4 linked regions of the Cricetulus griseus genome follow. The protein of the gene in region 4 purifies or fractionates together with the protein of the main gene of each other region. This does not show direct contact. Links are inferred from orthologs where the notes say so. Each region holds a gene or a part of one and is shown on either strand. Other genes may lie near its edges.

Evidence for each region.
Region 1: the proteins of Rnf146 (region 4) and Hltf purify together in Homo sapiens (affinity purification with mass spectrometry; 4 studies listed by BioGRID and IntAct, with this or other methods). This does not show direct contact. The link is inferred for Cricetulus griseus from reciprocal best matches to the Homo sapiens genes RNF146 and HLTF.
Region 2: the proteins of Rnf146 (region 4) and Lig3 purify together in Homo sapiens (co-immunoprecipitation; 3 studies listed by BioGRID and IntAct, counting the BioPlex papers as one, with this or other methods). This does not show direct contact. The link is inferred for Cricetulus griseus from reciprocal best matches to the Homo sapiens genes RNF146 and LIG3.
Region 3: the proteins of Rnf146 (region 4) and Parp2 purify together in Homo sapiens (affinity purification with mass spectrometry; 4 studies listed by BioGRID and IntAct, counting the BioPlex papers as one, with this or other methods). This does not show direct contact. The link is inferred for Cricetulus griseus from reciprocal best matches to the Homo sapiens genes RNF146 and PARP2.

What each region holds. Positions count from the first base shown.
Region 1 is NW_023276806.1:127,935,841-127,940,429, reverse strand, and holds the start of Hltf (helicase-like transcription factor), read left to right. Parts: upstream 1-1,563; 5' UTR 1,564-1,743; coding exon 1,744-1,763; intron 1,764-3,130; coding exon 3,131-3,338; intron 3,339-4,589. UniProt on the Homo sapiens protein: Has both helicase and E3 ubiquitin ligase activities. Possesses intrinsic ATP-dependent nucleosome-remodeling activity; This activity may be required for transcriptional activation or repression of specific target promoters.
Region 2 is NC_048600.1:96,192,416-96,196,470, reverse strand, and holds part of Lig3 (DNA ligase 3), read right to left. Parts: coding exon 3,667-4,055; intron 1,376-3,666; coding exon 1,232-1,375; intron 1-1,231. UniProt on the Homo sapiens protein: Isoform 3 functions as a heterodimer with DNA-repair protein XRCC1 in the nucleus and can correct defective DNA strand-break repair and sister chromatid exchange following treatment with ionizing radiation and alkylating agents.
Region 3 is NW_023276807.1:206,482,170-206,484,947, forward strand, and holds the end of Parp2 (poly [ADP-ribose] polymerase 2), read left to right. Parts: intron 1-81; coding exon 82-209; intron 210-365; coding exon 366-465; intron 466-944; coding exon 945-1,043; intron 1,044-1,249; coding exon 1,250-1,374; intron 1,375-1,808; coding exon 1,809-1,968; 3' UTR 1,969-2,073; downstream 2,074-2,778. UniProt on the Homo sapiens protein: Poly-ADP-ribosyltransferase that mediates poly-ADP-ribosylation of proteins and plays a key role in DNA repair.
Region 4 is NC_048595.1:247,899,966-247,904,600, reverse strand, and holds the start of Rnf146 (E3 ubiquitin-protein ligase RNF146), read left to right. Parts: upstream 1-1,760; 5' UTR 1,761-1,869; intron 1,870-2,556; exon of another isoform or gene 2,557-2,616; intron 2,617-4,635. UniProt on the Homo sapiens protein: E3 ubiquitin-protein ligase that specifically binds poly-ADP-ribosylated (PARsylated) proteins and mediates their ubiquitination and subsequent degradation. May regulate many important biological processes, such as cell survival and DNA damage response.

The sequences.
Region 1 (4,589 bases), on a different chromosome or scaffold from region 4:
GTTGACATTAGTATTTCCCACAATGTCATGCCAGTGGTCCACTTGAAATACTCTCATTTCACTTAAATAATGCACAGATCATCATTTTGTAAGACAACGAACACACACAAGCCACCTACCTTTCATACTATGCCAACAGAATCACAAAATGAACTACTCTTGGAAGGTTGGCTGTCAGTGTTTAAAACATTCACAAACACATCTAGCAATTCTGATGGTTTACAGCACACCATATTATGTTTGTTTGGCTCAGCACCACCACTAGCTTCCTATTTTAGGTGCAGGTGAAGCGGCAACAGTTAAAAGACTACTTCAGTAGTATTTTTGTGGTCTTTCACATGAAGGGACCAGCTTCCCTTTTGGCAGCCATAATGACCTTGTCCCAGACACTAGAAAGTCAGATGCCTGCCTCGTGACAAGGAACCAATCAGAAATTAGCTGGTGGCGCTATGCTTTACGACCCTGGGTGTGCTTTACAGACAAGCGCACAGCAATGACTTGGAGAGCATAGCAACCACCCTGGGAGGGCCTATGGGCCATAACAACCAGTTGACCAATCAACACAGGGCAAGCCCTCCAAGCCTGGAGGCACACCAATCCTGAGTCTGTGCGTACCCCTAGACACTCCCCTTCCGCTGTCCTATAAGATCTCTTGGGAGGCCCTAGGAGCGTCTTTTGCTAGCCATCCGCCATGGCGGGTGGGTGAAAGACCCGAGCTAACATGGGGTTAGCTTGTTAAATTACAATAAAGCCTCGTGCAGTTTGCAGCAAGCTCTGGAATCTGCCTGGTGATTGGGGTGACCGCGAATGTGGCCTAGGACCCCAGATACTTGAGTTTTCGGGGGTCTAACACACGGTACAGGAACCACCTCTACCTTGGCTGTTACTGATGCACACACAACCCTAAGGCCGAATTTCCCTTTATAAAGTTTTTCTTACAGTGTCTCCTTCAATTTCCCGAGAAAAAACGCAAGTGGCCACAGCTGCCACCTCACCTTACACCAGTGCTGGACCAGTCTCAGCAATAGAGTTGTAAGACTGTCCTATTTTATGGCTTTCTTCTACTAAGTGATGAAAATGTCTTTAAACACTAGAAAATAAGGTGAGAAAGGGAAATTGTGTTCTTCCTCAGATTTCTAGGACTCAGGGTCTCCACACACCGAGGTTCCTAATTACAAACATAGGGCATCTCAGAGGAAATGAGCTCCTCCTTCTAGGGGAGGCCCTTTAGGCATTATCTCAGATAGGGTGGGCGAAGGAGGCTCAGACCTCAGGGGACAGACAGCCTTATGGTTTTGGGCAGTGGCAGGAAGAAATCTTTCCTCTGCAGCGGGCAGGGAACCTTTAGCCAAGTGGCTCACTTGAAAGACCTCGAGGTTTTCCCGCGCAACCGCCCTCGGGGCGCGGAAGAACCCGGATGGAACCTCCCCAACACTCCACTGCCTTTGAATCGCTGCATGGGGCGGAGCTCCCCACCCTCTAGCACCCTGATTGGTTGGTATTTAGAGATTCTTCATTCCGATTGGACAATCTCAGTGCCGATCACAAAACGTCACTGGCCTCTCAGACTGTTGCTGAAGTAGTGGGAGTCGGCTTCTAAATAAACCCGCGTCTGGAGCGTCGCTTCTTCGCGGTTCGCATCTGGTTCCCGGTCCCTGGGCCGCGAGACCCTGAGGGACTTTTTCAGGCGGCCTGAGAAAGTCCGGGCGCCCAGGGCATCCCGAGGTCACCCCGCCCGGCGCCATGTCCTGGATGTTCAAGAGGTGAAGGGCTGAGGGGGTGGGGCGTGCGGCCCGGGGCCCCGCGCCGTCTTCAGTGAACCCGCTCCCGGCGGGCGGACGATAGATAGATAGATAGATAAGATAGGTGCGGCTTGGATGCCCTCCCCGGGTCGCTTGCACGTGTGGCTTGCGCAAAGCGTTGTCTCGGCTGACCCGAGAATCTGCTGCCAGCACCTCGGGAGGTCTCCATCACCGGTTGTGGGGGTCCAAAGCTCCACCCGAAGAGCTTTATTCATCAGAACACCTATTGGCTACCCACTGTGCTCTAGGCATTGTTGTCTCGCCATACGCTAGGAATTGTTACCGTGACAGCTCCGAGACAGCCCGACACCCAGTGTCTCACAGTAGTGAGCAGGAGCCTGTGCTTGCAGAGGAGAGCTGAAGCGGGGACTCCCAAAGGATAGCCCCGTGTGCTTTTAGGGGAAAGACAACTTGTAGAAGGCTTCCAGCAAACATCACTTGATCACCTGCAGCGGTTTTTATGCCCACTCCTGTAATAATGATCCTTAAGATTGGTTACCTTTAAAATAACAGGGTGATGGATAGATAGGTAAGGGGGCCTGCAGGTCAGCTTCCTATGATGTCATAGTTTAGATAGCTGTTCTGCAGGAGTTAAAGCTGTGAATGCTTTATGTCGAAGGCTAAAGATATTTTCATAGCCAGACGATGGGGCGCACGACCTTAATCCCACCTCTCAGAAGGCAGAGGCAAGCAGATCTCTTGAGTTCAAGGCCAGCTTGGTCTACAGAGTGAGTTTCTAGGTGAGCCAGGGCTACACAGAAACCCTGTCTCGAAAAAAACAAAAAGAAAAAAAAAAACATATACAATGGTAATTTTGTTTTTATAAATCTCTTCTTCATTAGTTGGCATTGAAGATTTTGACATTTTAATGTAAATAGATTTCCGCAGGAAAGAATTTCCAGTATTTAACAGGTCAGATTTGGTAGCTTTACCTACTCGGCTCTTGCTTTAGCCAGGGTAATTGTTAAGTGGTATTTGCCACATAACATTTCACTTGCTAAAATAAAATGTAAGGAAGTGATTGGCCTGAAAATACTGTTTGACTGTGTTCTTTGAGAAATACTTGGTTAAGTTCTGTTTTTTTTTGTTTGTTTGTTTGTTTGTTTGTTTTTGGTTTTCGAGACAGGGTTTCTCTGTGTAGCTTTGGAGCCTATCCTGGTACTCGAGCTGGAGACCAGGCTGGCCTGGAACTCACAGAGATCCGCCTGTCTCTGTCTCCCAAGTGCTGGGATTAAAGGCGTGTGCCACTAACTCCCCGAAAGTTCTATTGTTTTAATGTATGCTTTGTTTTTGTTTTTGTTTTGTGTTTTTTTTTTTTTTTTTAATAGGGATCCTGTTTGGAAGTATTTGCAGTCTGTCCAATATGGAGCCCATGGAAATTTTCCAAGACTTTCATACCCAACTTTCTTTCCACGTTTTGAGTTCCAAGACGTTATCCCTCCAGATGACTTCCTAACTAGTGATGAAGAGCTGGATCCCATTTTATTTGGAACTTTGAGAGGTCAAGTTGTTGGACTGCGCTATTACACAGGAGTAGTGAGTATAAGAGTAGATACTAAATAAAATTGTTGTATGCATATGGTTTTAACCGTAAATTATATTAAATGGTGACATATTATGTATACATATATACAATTAATGTTTTACTTTGAGTGACTGAAATATGTCACTCAAAGGCTTGTTCTAAATACCTTTACCATCTTTGATTAATTTTGTACATTTGTACCATGCTTACAGTATATAAAGCACTTTTGCCCATACTGACATTTGATTCTTGTAATTACTGAGGTTCTCTTCCTTAATGGAAGGTAGAGATGTAGATGGTTAAATGATTTGTCCCAATGAAGAAAATATATGCTGAATTTAGGAAGCAACTTCGAATCTATCAATTTTTATTAGATAAGTTATTTACTTTTGAGTTCTTTATTTTTGCAATAGAATAGCTCCTGCTCTTTCTTCGATTTATTCCTGTTCTCTAATTGATTGTGTGTGTGTGTGCTCGTGAGAAAAAGAGGACAGATTGAGAGTATATATATATGTGTGTGTATGTATTATATATATATAATTTTGTGCACTGTAATCTTCATTATGGCCATCTTTGTTATTTGGGTAATACTTCTAATATCCAGTTTATCATGAGAAAATTTCAAACATAAAATTAGAGTAAGTCAGAGGTTATCAAGTATTTTCTATATTTGTTTTATTCTTTTTTCTTTATCTTTGTAAAAACAAATACTAAATTTTATATTAGTATAGTTCAGTATATATTTCTTTAAAATTCAGTTTGTGGGCTGAAGAGATGACTCAGCAGTTAAGAACATTTGGCTGCTTTTGCAGAGGACTGGAGTTCTGTTCACTCATGGCTGGCCACTGACTACTCCCTTTACAGTTCCAGAGGTCCTGTGCCCTCTTCTGGCATACATGGGTACTCATACATACCCCCATATAGAATACATAAGTATACATGATTAAAAATAAAATACATCTTAGTTTTTATGTTTCATTTTCATAGCAATCAATAATTGGATTCTGTTGATTATTAAAACTGTATTTTTATCAGGCTCAAAACAGGGTTAATATATTATCTTTGGCTGTTATGGGCTGTAAGGTCCACTCTTGTTTCCTGTTACATATTTGTGTGTCAAAAACAAGGTCTGTTTTTCGGAATCTTGTTGATTTTGTTACTTTTCCCCTTCCCTTGTATCTTTATGATAAAGCTTGTTAAATGGTTTCTTGTTGTTCTTGGGGGAAGGGGTTTGACTCTACAGCCTAACCTGGCAAGCACTA
Region 2 (4,055 bases), on a different chromosome or scaffold from region 4:
TCACAACAGGTAAAGAATTGCTCAAAGCACCAAGCTGTTATCATAGACCAAACCTCAATTTTCCTGACTTCACATTTAGGCTTCTTTGAACCTTTAAATTTCTCAAGTCCAAAGGGTTTCATTTTATTATTTTCTTCAGCTGAGCCAGTCATAAGAATTGTTTATCTCAAACAATAAACAGAATATAGGGTATATATGATAAATAACACACTACTGGGACAAACAGACATCAGAGCAATAATAGCTCAATTGTGAGCCTGAACTTCAGTTCATTCATAAAATGTGCATAATGAGCAAGACAGAAAAGCACTTATTCAGGTTAAGTGAAGAACAAAAGCCTGTAGATGAATGTTTTCTCTTACCTATAGCCAATAAATGACCCTCTCAATTCCCATTGAAGCACAGGTTCTAGCAAAGTTTTACTGATTCCAGTCCAGGAATAGTAGTTTTGTTATACAACAGAAACAACTTACGTATGTGTGTGCATGATTACAAATTACTGTTTGTTTATCTTTCCAAGACATAAACAAGAGATAGGGGATGGAGTCTGAATCCAGAGCCTATTAATTCCCAAGTCCACCTGCTTTATCACTGGGCTCTACTGTCTCCCAACAAAACATGACACCTGTCATTCAGATCTTCCTTCTGCCTCCTCCCTCATACATCTAAACTACAGGGATACAGGGACAATGACTATCAGGGGAAATGAAGGAAAAATGACCTGTCCTCCCACACTTCCATCTCCAGTTCAGGCAAGTTTGGGGACACTTCTCAGAATTCTGTCATTGAAAAACAAGTAGTAGCTAAGTAGGGGTGGTGCACACCTTTAACCCCAGCAGGCAGGCAGATCTCTGAATTTGAGGCCAGCCTGGTCTACATAGTGAGTTCCAGGACAGCCAGGGCTACACAAAGAAATCCTGTCTCGAAAAACCAAACCAAACCAAACCTAACTAACCCAACTAACCAAACAACAAAACACCAAGAAGCAAAGAGCAGGTTAGAAAAATCTTTTTGATCCTGGTAATAACTTCAAGTAGAAGTCTTGACAAAACCAATATGTTCCTACTACAATAGAGAAATACTATGCAAGTAGTCAGCTGGGGTTGGACTGCCCCAGACAGAAGCCAGTTACTGACACTCGGTAATACAGTATTTTCACTTAGTCAGAGACCCAAAGAAGACACAAACAAAGGAGAGCCTTAAGAGCGAAAGTAGCCTTAACCCATCTTACCTGAAAATCCAGAAAATTTCCGAGGATTGGTACTGGTGACAAACGAAGCACCTTTCACTGGGGATGACACCTGGCCAGTGGTTGTCACCTTAGCCTGGACAGCGGTTTTCTTCTTAGGTGTCCCAGCTGCCTTAGAGGACAGGTCTATAGGACCCACACAGAACAAAAATGTCCTTCAGAGAAAGACTGCCGAGGAAGCTTCTCGATTTTATCAACAGTTTTCAAATCCTTGCTTGGTAAGTTTCTACTGCACTATGACCCCAGGCTGGCTGGTCTTTTTGAGTGTTGGGAGGAGGTAAAAGAGTATTGTACAGAGAACAAAAAGGTATTTTGGGGATCATTTACCTCTATTGGTAACTTGAATTTTCATCAAAATTCCCCACCTCATATTTAATATATAATAATTTCTTCTTCCTTTTTTTTTGTTTTTTGAGACAGGGTTTCTCTGTATTGTTTTAGAGCCTGTCCTGGAACTCACTCTGTAGACCAGGTTAGCCTTGAACTCACAGAGATCCATCTGCTTCTACCGCCTGAGTGCTGGGATTAAAGTACAGATTTGGGGAAACCAAATAATCATTTATTTATTTTTAAAGATTTTTATTTTTATGTGAATGGGTGCTTTGCATGCATGTATGTGTGTACCATGTGTGTGTGGTCTGGTGCCCAGGGAAGCAAAAAAAAGGCACTGGATCCATTGGGATTGGATTTACATAACCATGAGCTGCCATGGGGATGCTGGGAATTAAACTCAGGTCCTCTGGAAGAGCCAGCCACCTTTGCTCTTTACTGCTCTCCAGCCCCAGTAATCATATTTTGATAGATAAAACTTGGGCCTAGCTCTGTGAAATAGCCCCAATACATAGAAACAACAAAGTAAAAATGAAGAAACCAGAGCATGCCTTTTTGGCACAGGTAGAATAATTCCCGTTGACTACCCTTCCCCCGAATGAGACAGAATCAGTTAACAAAGGCCAAGAATAAGAATAAAGGACCATCGTTAGAGCCACAGCCTTTAGATCTATTACTCTAGAGACTCTAAGAGTCCTCAGATATGGATATAGGAGTAAGCATGTATGTGTGGATATATGTATGTGATTTTATGTATATGCATGCATGTATCTTTCTAGTTGTCTGTTCTAAGGACTTAGCCACAAAGATATAATATGATGACGAGATGTAGAGCATCCAGATTTTGTTTTCCAAAACTGTTTTCCATTAATGGGAATTCAGACCCCCTCAGAGGAATGGCTACCACCACAGCTAGGGGAGGACACATAGAAGAAAGTCAAGAGCATCCTCTTATGCCTAATGCATAAGTACTTATAAAACATGGTCCAGCAGGTCTTAAACTCACTCCTGAGTGTCTAGGACTGCAGGCTTGTGCCACCTCACCTAGCTAAAATTCAGTGAAAAGTATTTGCCAGGCATGGCCAGCAGACGGGTACAACTTCAGGACTTGAGAGGCTAATGCAGAAAAGACTGAGAGTTTAAGGTCAGCTAGGGCTACACAGCAAGACTGCCGGGGGGGGGGGGGGGACACGGACAGACGGACAGACAGACAGACAGACAGACTAGAGTATGCAGGATATAGAAGCCACCCTAACGGGACTACTAGCTGGCCAAATATGGAACAAGTCAGTACCATAATGAACTGTAAGTCTCTGGTGAAAAGTAGTAATCTAAAAGTTGGTAAAGACATCAAGTTGACAGCTAAAATGGTGGTAGTGATCTTTTATTCTTTAAAAATATCAACATCTAAAAGAAAGACAGAGAGTACCAGACTTGGTGGCACAAGGCTGTAATCTTAGTCCTGGGGAGAAGGCAGGAAGATTGCTTTGAGTGTGAGGCCAGCCCAAGCTACATGGTATGGCAAGAATACATCTAAAACCAAAAAGACACTCTGGAAATGCTGCAGAGTAAAGGAAGCCAAAGAGACATGACAATTAAATGCAGTACCTAATCTGATTCTAAACCTGCATCCTCAAATGGAGGAAAATGTACTATTAAATTATAGCGTTCAGTCAACAGACAAAACAGTATACAGATAAGGAAGTATTGCATCAAGGGAGAGTTTACTGAGGTTAACAGGTAAACTATGATCATGTAAGAGAAGATCCTATTTTTAAGATACACACTGGAGTACCTACAGGGCCTGATGACACAACTTTCTCTGAGTGGCTCAATAAAAAAATAAGCCTGATATGTAGAGAGCGAGCACATAAACAGAAATGAGAAAGTAAAATGACTAGTATCAAGAGGGAAATCTGTGTCAAGAATGAGTGTTCTTGGTACTAATTTTATTCTTATAACTATTCTGTGAATTTGAACTTATGTCCAAGCAAAATGCACAAAGAAAGAAATATCCTAGCCTCTAGTCTCCTTGTGCCCTATTCTATTAGCACCAGCAAGCCGAGAAACCAGGTTCTAAACCCCACCTGCAATGTGCTGGCTGATCTGTTCCTTTTCGTCATCTTCCAGCTCTTCCCAGCCTTCTAGCTCTGTGAGGTCTTCAATTTTTTTTGTGGTAGCCCGAGCCCGCTCCAGTTTCTCAAATATGCACTTAACATGGTACCACTCTTTCATATCGCCCGCAGACTCTGAGAAGGGATTGGGCACCACTTTGCCAATGCGGCATACGCCCTTTAAAATCTTCTCCTTGCATTTCTTGCAACCAGCTGTGCCCCTCTTGGCATAGTCCACACAGAACCGCTGCTCCGCCATCTCATAGGGGCCAGTATAGAGTCCCACATGCGACCCTGGGAAGAAAACAAGGTGGGTGGCACGTGGTCTTAGATGACCTCCCTGGAAAGATAGGACAGGCTTT
Region 3 (2,778 bases), on a different chromosome or scaffold from region 4:
GCTAACTTAGAGCAGAAGCCCTGCCTCCTTCTGTCCAGTCCAGTCTCTTCCAGGGTCTCCATTTGCTGTTCTTTCCCACAGGTGGTTTTGCAGTACCTACACTCTACCCAGGCTCCTACACACAATAACTACACCATGACCTTGCTGGATGTTTTTGAAGTAGAGAAGGAAGGGGAGAAGGAGGCCTTCAGAAAGGACCTTCCTAACAGGTCTGAGTCCAGCTCTGGTTGAGTAGACATTTCCTTGCCTGAAGTGTAGTGAAGGAGCTTGGAAGGTGGCGGGGGCAGCTGTTTTGTTTGGGTTTTTTTGTATTTATGACAGATGTTTTAGGAGAACAATGGAGTGGAATAACAGGTCTTTCTTAGGATGCTACTCTGGCATGGTTCCAGACTGAGTAACTGGGTAGGAATCCTGAGCCACGGACTCCGAGTGGCCCCACCTGAGGCTCCCGTCACAGGATATATGGTAAGTAGAAACTGACCTCTAGAAGGAGCCCAGAGGAAAAAAAGATACAATGATGATCTTGGTCCCCCAATCCAGATTAGGTGGTACTAATCTGAAAGAGTTACAACAGCTCACTGATAACCACCTCATCTCTTACTGTGTCCCTCTTCTTTAAATTCTAAAAGATAGGGCAGAGATTTGTGGCTATTTGGTTGTTTCTTAAATTAAATAGGAAAGGGCAGTAGGGGAGGGACCATGTTGTGTTTATGGGAACAGAACCTCATGGTCATTGCTGAGTTTTTGTTGTTGTTTTGAGACAGGGTCTCACTGTGACCTGGGGTGGTTTGGAACTTGCTGTGTAGACCAGGCTGGCCTCACACTCCAAGACCTGCCTGCTTCTGCCTCCTGAATCCAGGGGTAAAAGCCTTGGACCACCATGCCAGAACCTTCTCCTACAATGGATTAAACAGCTGATCTCCATTTTTGTTCATGTATTTCAGTTTGGGAAAGGAATCTACTTTGCTGACATGTCTTCCAAGAGTGCCAATTACTGCTTTGCGTCTCCCCTAAAGAGCACAGGACTGCTTCTTCTATCAGAGGTAAGGCAGGGAACATGGCTATGATCTCTAGTTCACTGAGAAAATTGCACTCTGGATTCAAGAGGTACACCTGGAATGGGATCTCCATTGCATTAGATTCTTTTGCTAAAGTAACAAATAAAATACAAATTGGCATGTTCTGGATGGCTTTGGAATCGCCTGCCTCTGAACTGGGTATAGGCACTCACGGATCTTTTGCTTCACAGGTAGCTCTAGGTCAGTGTAATGAGCTACTGGAGGCCAATCCTAAGGCAGAAGGGTTGCTTCAGGGCAAGCATAGCACCAAGGGGCTGGGAAAGATAGCTCCCAACCCTGACCACTTCATCACCCTGTAAGTACCCAGAGCTGAGGCTGCTGGAAGACTTCTTTCAAATTGTTGAGAATTATTTGTCTAATGGTATGGCTTGGGCATCGTATGAGGCAACTGGCAGTGGGACCAAGATCTAACTATAGTGCATAAACTAACTTTGTGGAGCCCATTCTCTATGGAGAGATACCTTGCTCAGTCTAGACATGGGGGGTGGGGGGATGCATGCCTTGGTCCTGCCTCAACAAGGTGAAGAGACAAACTTAGTTGACATCCTAGGGAAGTGGGATGGGGGAAGGAGGGGAGAGCAGGAGGAGAGGGGGGAGAGGGAACTGGATTGAAATGAAGAAAGAAAGAAAGAAAGAAAGAAAGAAAGAAAGAAAGAAAGAAAGAATTACTTGTCTATTTCAAATTCTGGACCAAATACTAATGTTGACACATTTTCTTCCATTTGGCAGGAATGGGAGTACAGTGCCCTTAGGACCAGCAAGTGACACAGGAATTCTCAATCCAGAGGGGTATACCCTCAACTACAATGAGTTTATTGTCTACAGCCCCAACCAGGTCCATATGCGATACCTTCTAAAGATTCAATTTAATTTTCTGCAGCTGTGGTAAATGTTGATTAAATAAGCAAGAGAGGATTCAATCTTCAAACAAAACCCAGCAATATTACATTTTTGAACTTTTTGGTCATTTGTTTAATAAAATAGTATAAATCTACCTCTGGCTTCTTTGGGTTTTACTTTTCCAAACACATATTCTTTGTGTGTGGTGTGCATGCATGTGTGCACACATGGAGGCCAGAGGAAGGTTGTCAGAGTGTGCTCTAGCACTCTTCATACTGTCCTTTTTGTTTGTTTGGTTGGTTGGTTTTTCAAGACAGGATTTCTCTATATAGCTTTGGCTGTCCTGGACCTCACTCTGTAGACCAGGATAGCCTCCAACCCAGAATCCATCTGCCTCTGGAGTACTGGGATTAAAGGTGGGTACTGCCACAGCCCACCCCAACACTGTCCTCTTGAGACAAGGGCTCTTACTGAGTCTTGAGAAAGGCTGATGGCCAGCAAGCCCCAACAGTTCAGCCCTTTGAACCCAAAATTCTGGGGTTACAGATACATGCAGCCACACTCAACTTGTTTTTTAGATTTTCTTCTAAGTATGTGTATGTGTATGAAGTGTCTGTGTAGTTACGTGCACATGAGTGCAGCTGCCAGCAGAGGGAGCTGGATCCCCTGGGGCTGGAGTTACAGAGCCCTGTGCTGGCTGATCTTAGTAAATCAGCTTAACTACATCTGGAATCAGCTAAAACCCAAGCCGCTGGGCATGCTTATGAGGGATTTTCTTGATTGGATCATCTGAGATGGAAAAAGCCACTCTACAACTGGGCTACAGCTTTTGGTAGCAGCCCTTTTGAGGGATATTAGT
Region 4 (4,635 bases):
CTGTGCATACCCCTAGACACTCCCCTTACACTGCCCATAAGATCTCTATGCAGTGGCTTCGAAGCATCTTTCCTAACCATGCGACATGGTGGATGGATGAAAGCCCCGAGCTAACATGGGGTTAGCTCGCTAAACAACTGCAATGAAGCCTCTTGTATGTTGCATCAACTGGACTGGACATTGAGTTCTTGCAGGACTGGCCAGATGGGGGAGACTCCTCATTTCGAGGGTCTTTCACTACTTAGAAGAAAACTTATTGAACTAACTCACACCAAGAGACGTTCAGAGGAGTGTGTGTGTGTGTGTGTGTGTGTGTGTGTGTGTGTGAGAGAGAGAGAGAGAGAGAGAGAGAGAGAGAGAGAGAGAGAGAGAGAGGGCGCATGCGCACGCGCTTCCCTAAAGAAGCACACGTATATGGAAGATGCTGTGAACTGATTGGCTGACTAAACTTTGTAATAGTGGTATAGGAAAATGCTGCAAACAAGAGCCAAATATTTGTTCCGCCCCCACATAGTCGCCATTTACTCTTAATCCCTGTATCATCTGAATTAACATCTTTCTGACTGGAATACAACGTTGAAACCTAGCTGGCCAGTAGCTTCCTTTTTTATTCCCCGTACCCAGTGTGGTACTGGGGATTGGATCCAGATGCTCAAGCATGATAGGCAAACACCCTACCACTAGATACCTAGTTCGTTTTCAATTATAAAACCAACGTTATAGCACCGAAACCTAAACAATATGCTCTGTCACAGTCGCCCAGCTACCCGATGGACTACCCCTACCAAAATATTTGATAATACATTGACGTATAATCTTCCCTTTTTGTGGCTATACAAAGTTCATGTAATAATATTTCCTAGAACAACAGACTGAGTAGCCCGAATCCATGCTCGGGATTCAGTTACTCATGGCTGTCTCCACATGAATTCTTCCTCCTTTCCCTTAAGAGCAGAGGCTGTGCTTTGTAGCTATCATATAAGCACCCGAAACATTTACAGTCCTGGCATTGAGACAGTTAATAAACCTCAAAATGCAACATTGTTGCAAGCACAATGCAACAGTTACAGGAGGCGGAAATACTTTCAAAGGTGACGAGGCCCCGCTAATCCACCTAGTTTAACTACAACTTGAGAAAACTCACTCAGCTCTGTAAAAGACCATGTGTGGGTAAAAACGAACGACTAGATTTTGATGTTTAAAACTGTATGCTTGCCATCAAATGAATCGGCAAAACTTACTCTAGATTCTTAAGTCGATTGATTTCCTCTTCTAGCTTCCTAGGCTGTTAGGGTACAAAAGACTTGTTGAGACCCCCAACACGTCCCCTCCCCCATTAAATTTCCTAGCCATTTGTGAGTGAATAAACTGGAGCATTCCAGGGGACCATCCAGTCCACGCCGAGTCTTTGCAGATGTCTTCTTGATAAGGAACAAGCAGTTAAGGACACTTCAATTGGAAACTTAGGGCTTGGCCCAAGGGCTTCTTGGGGTCAGAAGGCTGGATTTCAGGAGAGCTCCTCTTCCTGGTCCCGGATGTCTAGCTCCCTCGCTCAGTGCTCTCTGGTGGCACCCCACAGTGTCAGAGCCAGGTGGTGATAAGGTGCACAAAGAGCATGGGAGGGATCGCGGCCAGAGAGCCGCCCCGCCGCGGGGAAGGGCAAGAGAGGTCTGCAGGCAGAGCGTGCACCGCCCGCCCGCCAGCCTCCGGCGCCGCGCGCGCGCTCGCCGTGGGGGCGTGGCTTCCGTCGGCGCGGCCCCGCCCCCTCGAGCGCCGGGCGTCACGTGGCGGCCGCGCGCGTCCCCGTCCGCTGCGGGCTCCGAAGCGGAGGAGAAGAGGCTGCGAGGTGGCTGCGGCGGCGGCCGAGAGGTGGGCACCGGCGGGACCGGTGGGGAGCGCGTGTGTCCGAGGGCTGCGGGGCCTCGGCGGGTGGCGCTGCGACCGCGCTGGCTGCGGGGCGGCGCCTGGAGTGGCGGCGAGCGGCGGCGGGTCGGGGCCGGTAGGACAGGGACGCCCTTGGCCAGCGCGGCCCGGACGGGCGCGCGGAGGGAGGCGAGCTGGCGCAGCCCGGAGCGTGACGGGCGCGGCCCCGGCCATTACTACGCAGGCCGGGCTGCGGGCAGCGCCGCGGGGCTCGGCCGGGCTGCGGGCAGCCACGGGCTGCATTCTGTCTGCCGTCTGCGGTGCTGCTGCTGCTGCTGCTGCTGTGCTGTGCTGTGCTGTGCTGTGCTGCTAGCCTGCCCAGCGCCCGGAGCCGTCCCTCCTCCTCGCGCTGGCGGAAGCCGCCGAGTGTTCTTGTTTTGATGGCTCCCAAAACCTGAAACCACCCCGAGGTGTCGGAATACGCGTCGGGGCCTCCCTACCCGGGTGCATCCGAAGATCCCCGTTTCGTTTGTCGCTTTGTTCTGGTTGCTGGGTGTGGAGTTCTCTCCCTTGCCCTCCACCCCATCTAGGAGTGCACGGGATCCTCATTGTTCTGGCTGTCTTATTTTCCTGAGCGGTGTTGTTTTTATTATTATTTTTTTCTTCTTCTTTTTTTTTTTTTTTTCTTTTAAGAGAGAAAGGCATGGTTACGTTGTTTTTGAGGATATGGAAATGGAATCGTCCTCTACTTAGGTAAGAGATTCCGGACTGTGAGTTAGCACACGCATTCTGACAGCTATATTTTGTCTTTTCTCCGGGTGCTGTTTAAGCACTTCTCAAGTTTTCAACATTTTGGGGTTTTTGTTTTGTTTTTGTTGTTTGTTTGTTTTTTAACAGTACCGAAATACTTGACAAGAACTTAGGGAAGAAGAAAGTCAAAGGAGATAGAAAAGGCTTTGTTCATTGATTGACATTTCAGGTGCTAGGGTGTGTTCACCCCCTCCCGCCGTGTGTTTGTGTGTGTGTGTGTGTGTGTGTGTGTGTGTCTGCCTTCCTTGTTTTGTAAACGGGATGTGCACCTGGAACTTGGCTATTGAAAGTTGTATATTGTCATCGAATTTGAGCATGTAGAACATTTCAGTAAATGACCTATATTAGACTTTTTAAAGGACATGGCATATTGAAAACAAATGAAGGAAATGACCCATACAAACTAGCAGCAAAGCTCCTGGGTGCTGTGAAAACACATGAAAATAGGTCACTTAAATCTCATTTTTAAAGAGAAAACTCGAGAGTGACTGCCACACTAAAGGAGTTTGGGATGTGTTTGGGTCTTGGATATGATACAGTGGAACACTTGGGTTTATGTCTCAAATGGGCCTATGTAATGTGGGCAGAATGAAAACCCTTGTGCTTAAATGTTTGAAGATTTCTGTTTTGCTGGTGAAGAACTGAGTAGAGTTGTAATCATGGGAAAACATCCCAAATAGCTGGTCATTAGATAAGAGGAATGCAAAAAAAAAAAAAAAAAATTCTTTTGGGAGACTCGTCAAGTGATAAGAGTCACTTTTGCATTGTTTTCTTTTTTGTTTTTAAAGGATTCAAGATAATTCCTTGACCTGAAAAAACATAATAGGAAGAACTTTTTCATATTCATCTGTTTACGACACATTTTCTGTTAGCCATATATGTGCTTGACGGATTTAACCAGTTGTTACTGATTCTTACAAATATTTTCCTGCAAGAATTAGAGGTAGAAGGTACTGAGTCTTTTTTCTGTCCTCTTGCCCAGTTGGGTTCTTGATAACAGAGGGAATTTGTGGAACTGTTGGCCGGATTAGAAACAGTCTTTCTGAGGATAGACACTATGTCTACACTGGTGTACAGCCTCCTTTGCTAATTTGTACTCTCTCATTCACCTTAGTTAATTAATACAAAGCCTGTTGTTAAAGGCCTCTTAATTAAAACATTTAAAATTGTAGAATCACAGAGGAGAGGGTGAAGCAACAAATACGTAGTGATGACTTGACCAAGGTCTCACATCTTAATTAATAAGAGGACTTTGTTATTTACATAATGGTTGCTGGCCATGAAACCTGATTGATGAGATTAAAGTGTCTGTTGACATTCATATTTCCTGAGTTATTGAAGTAAATGCAAAACCCACTTCGAAGGGAAGAAATTTGAAGATTTACACCTAAATATGAAGACTGTGAAGGCAGTCGGTAGTCATAGGATGATATTGTTTACATTTAACTGAAATTGAGTTTTGACAGAACACTTGTTTCCAATTCGACTTAGCCCTTTTTTTGAAAGCTGATGTGATGAAGTACAAAAGTTACATGCCTGTGAATTTGGGAATCTTTTTTAAGAAATTTCAAGATGTGTGTGTTAAATCCCACCTGACCTCTGCTCTCTTTTCCTGTGTTTATAATAGATACACATGTAGGTAAACTTGTATACAGAGGGAGGTTTGAAGTAGTACCCCATCATTGACACCTTTTTTATACAATATATCCTGTTTTGTGTATTTTGAATAAAGAGTAAACTGTTTCTTTAATTCTTTAAATAGGGAAAACAGAAAGTGTTCAAGCATATATAATTTGATATTTATGTTTTTAATTATGTTTTATATATTCTTGTTTTTCTTTTATTTTTTAAAGGTCAATATTTTATTCAAGTCGGTTATCTAGGGACAGTGGACTTTTAAAAAGTGTAAATGACTTGATAAATGGAATTGCTATTAATCCTAAATCTTTACATCAGGAATTA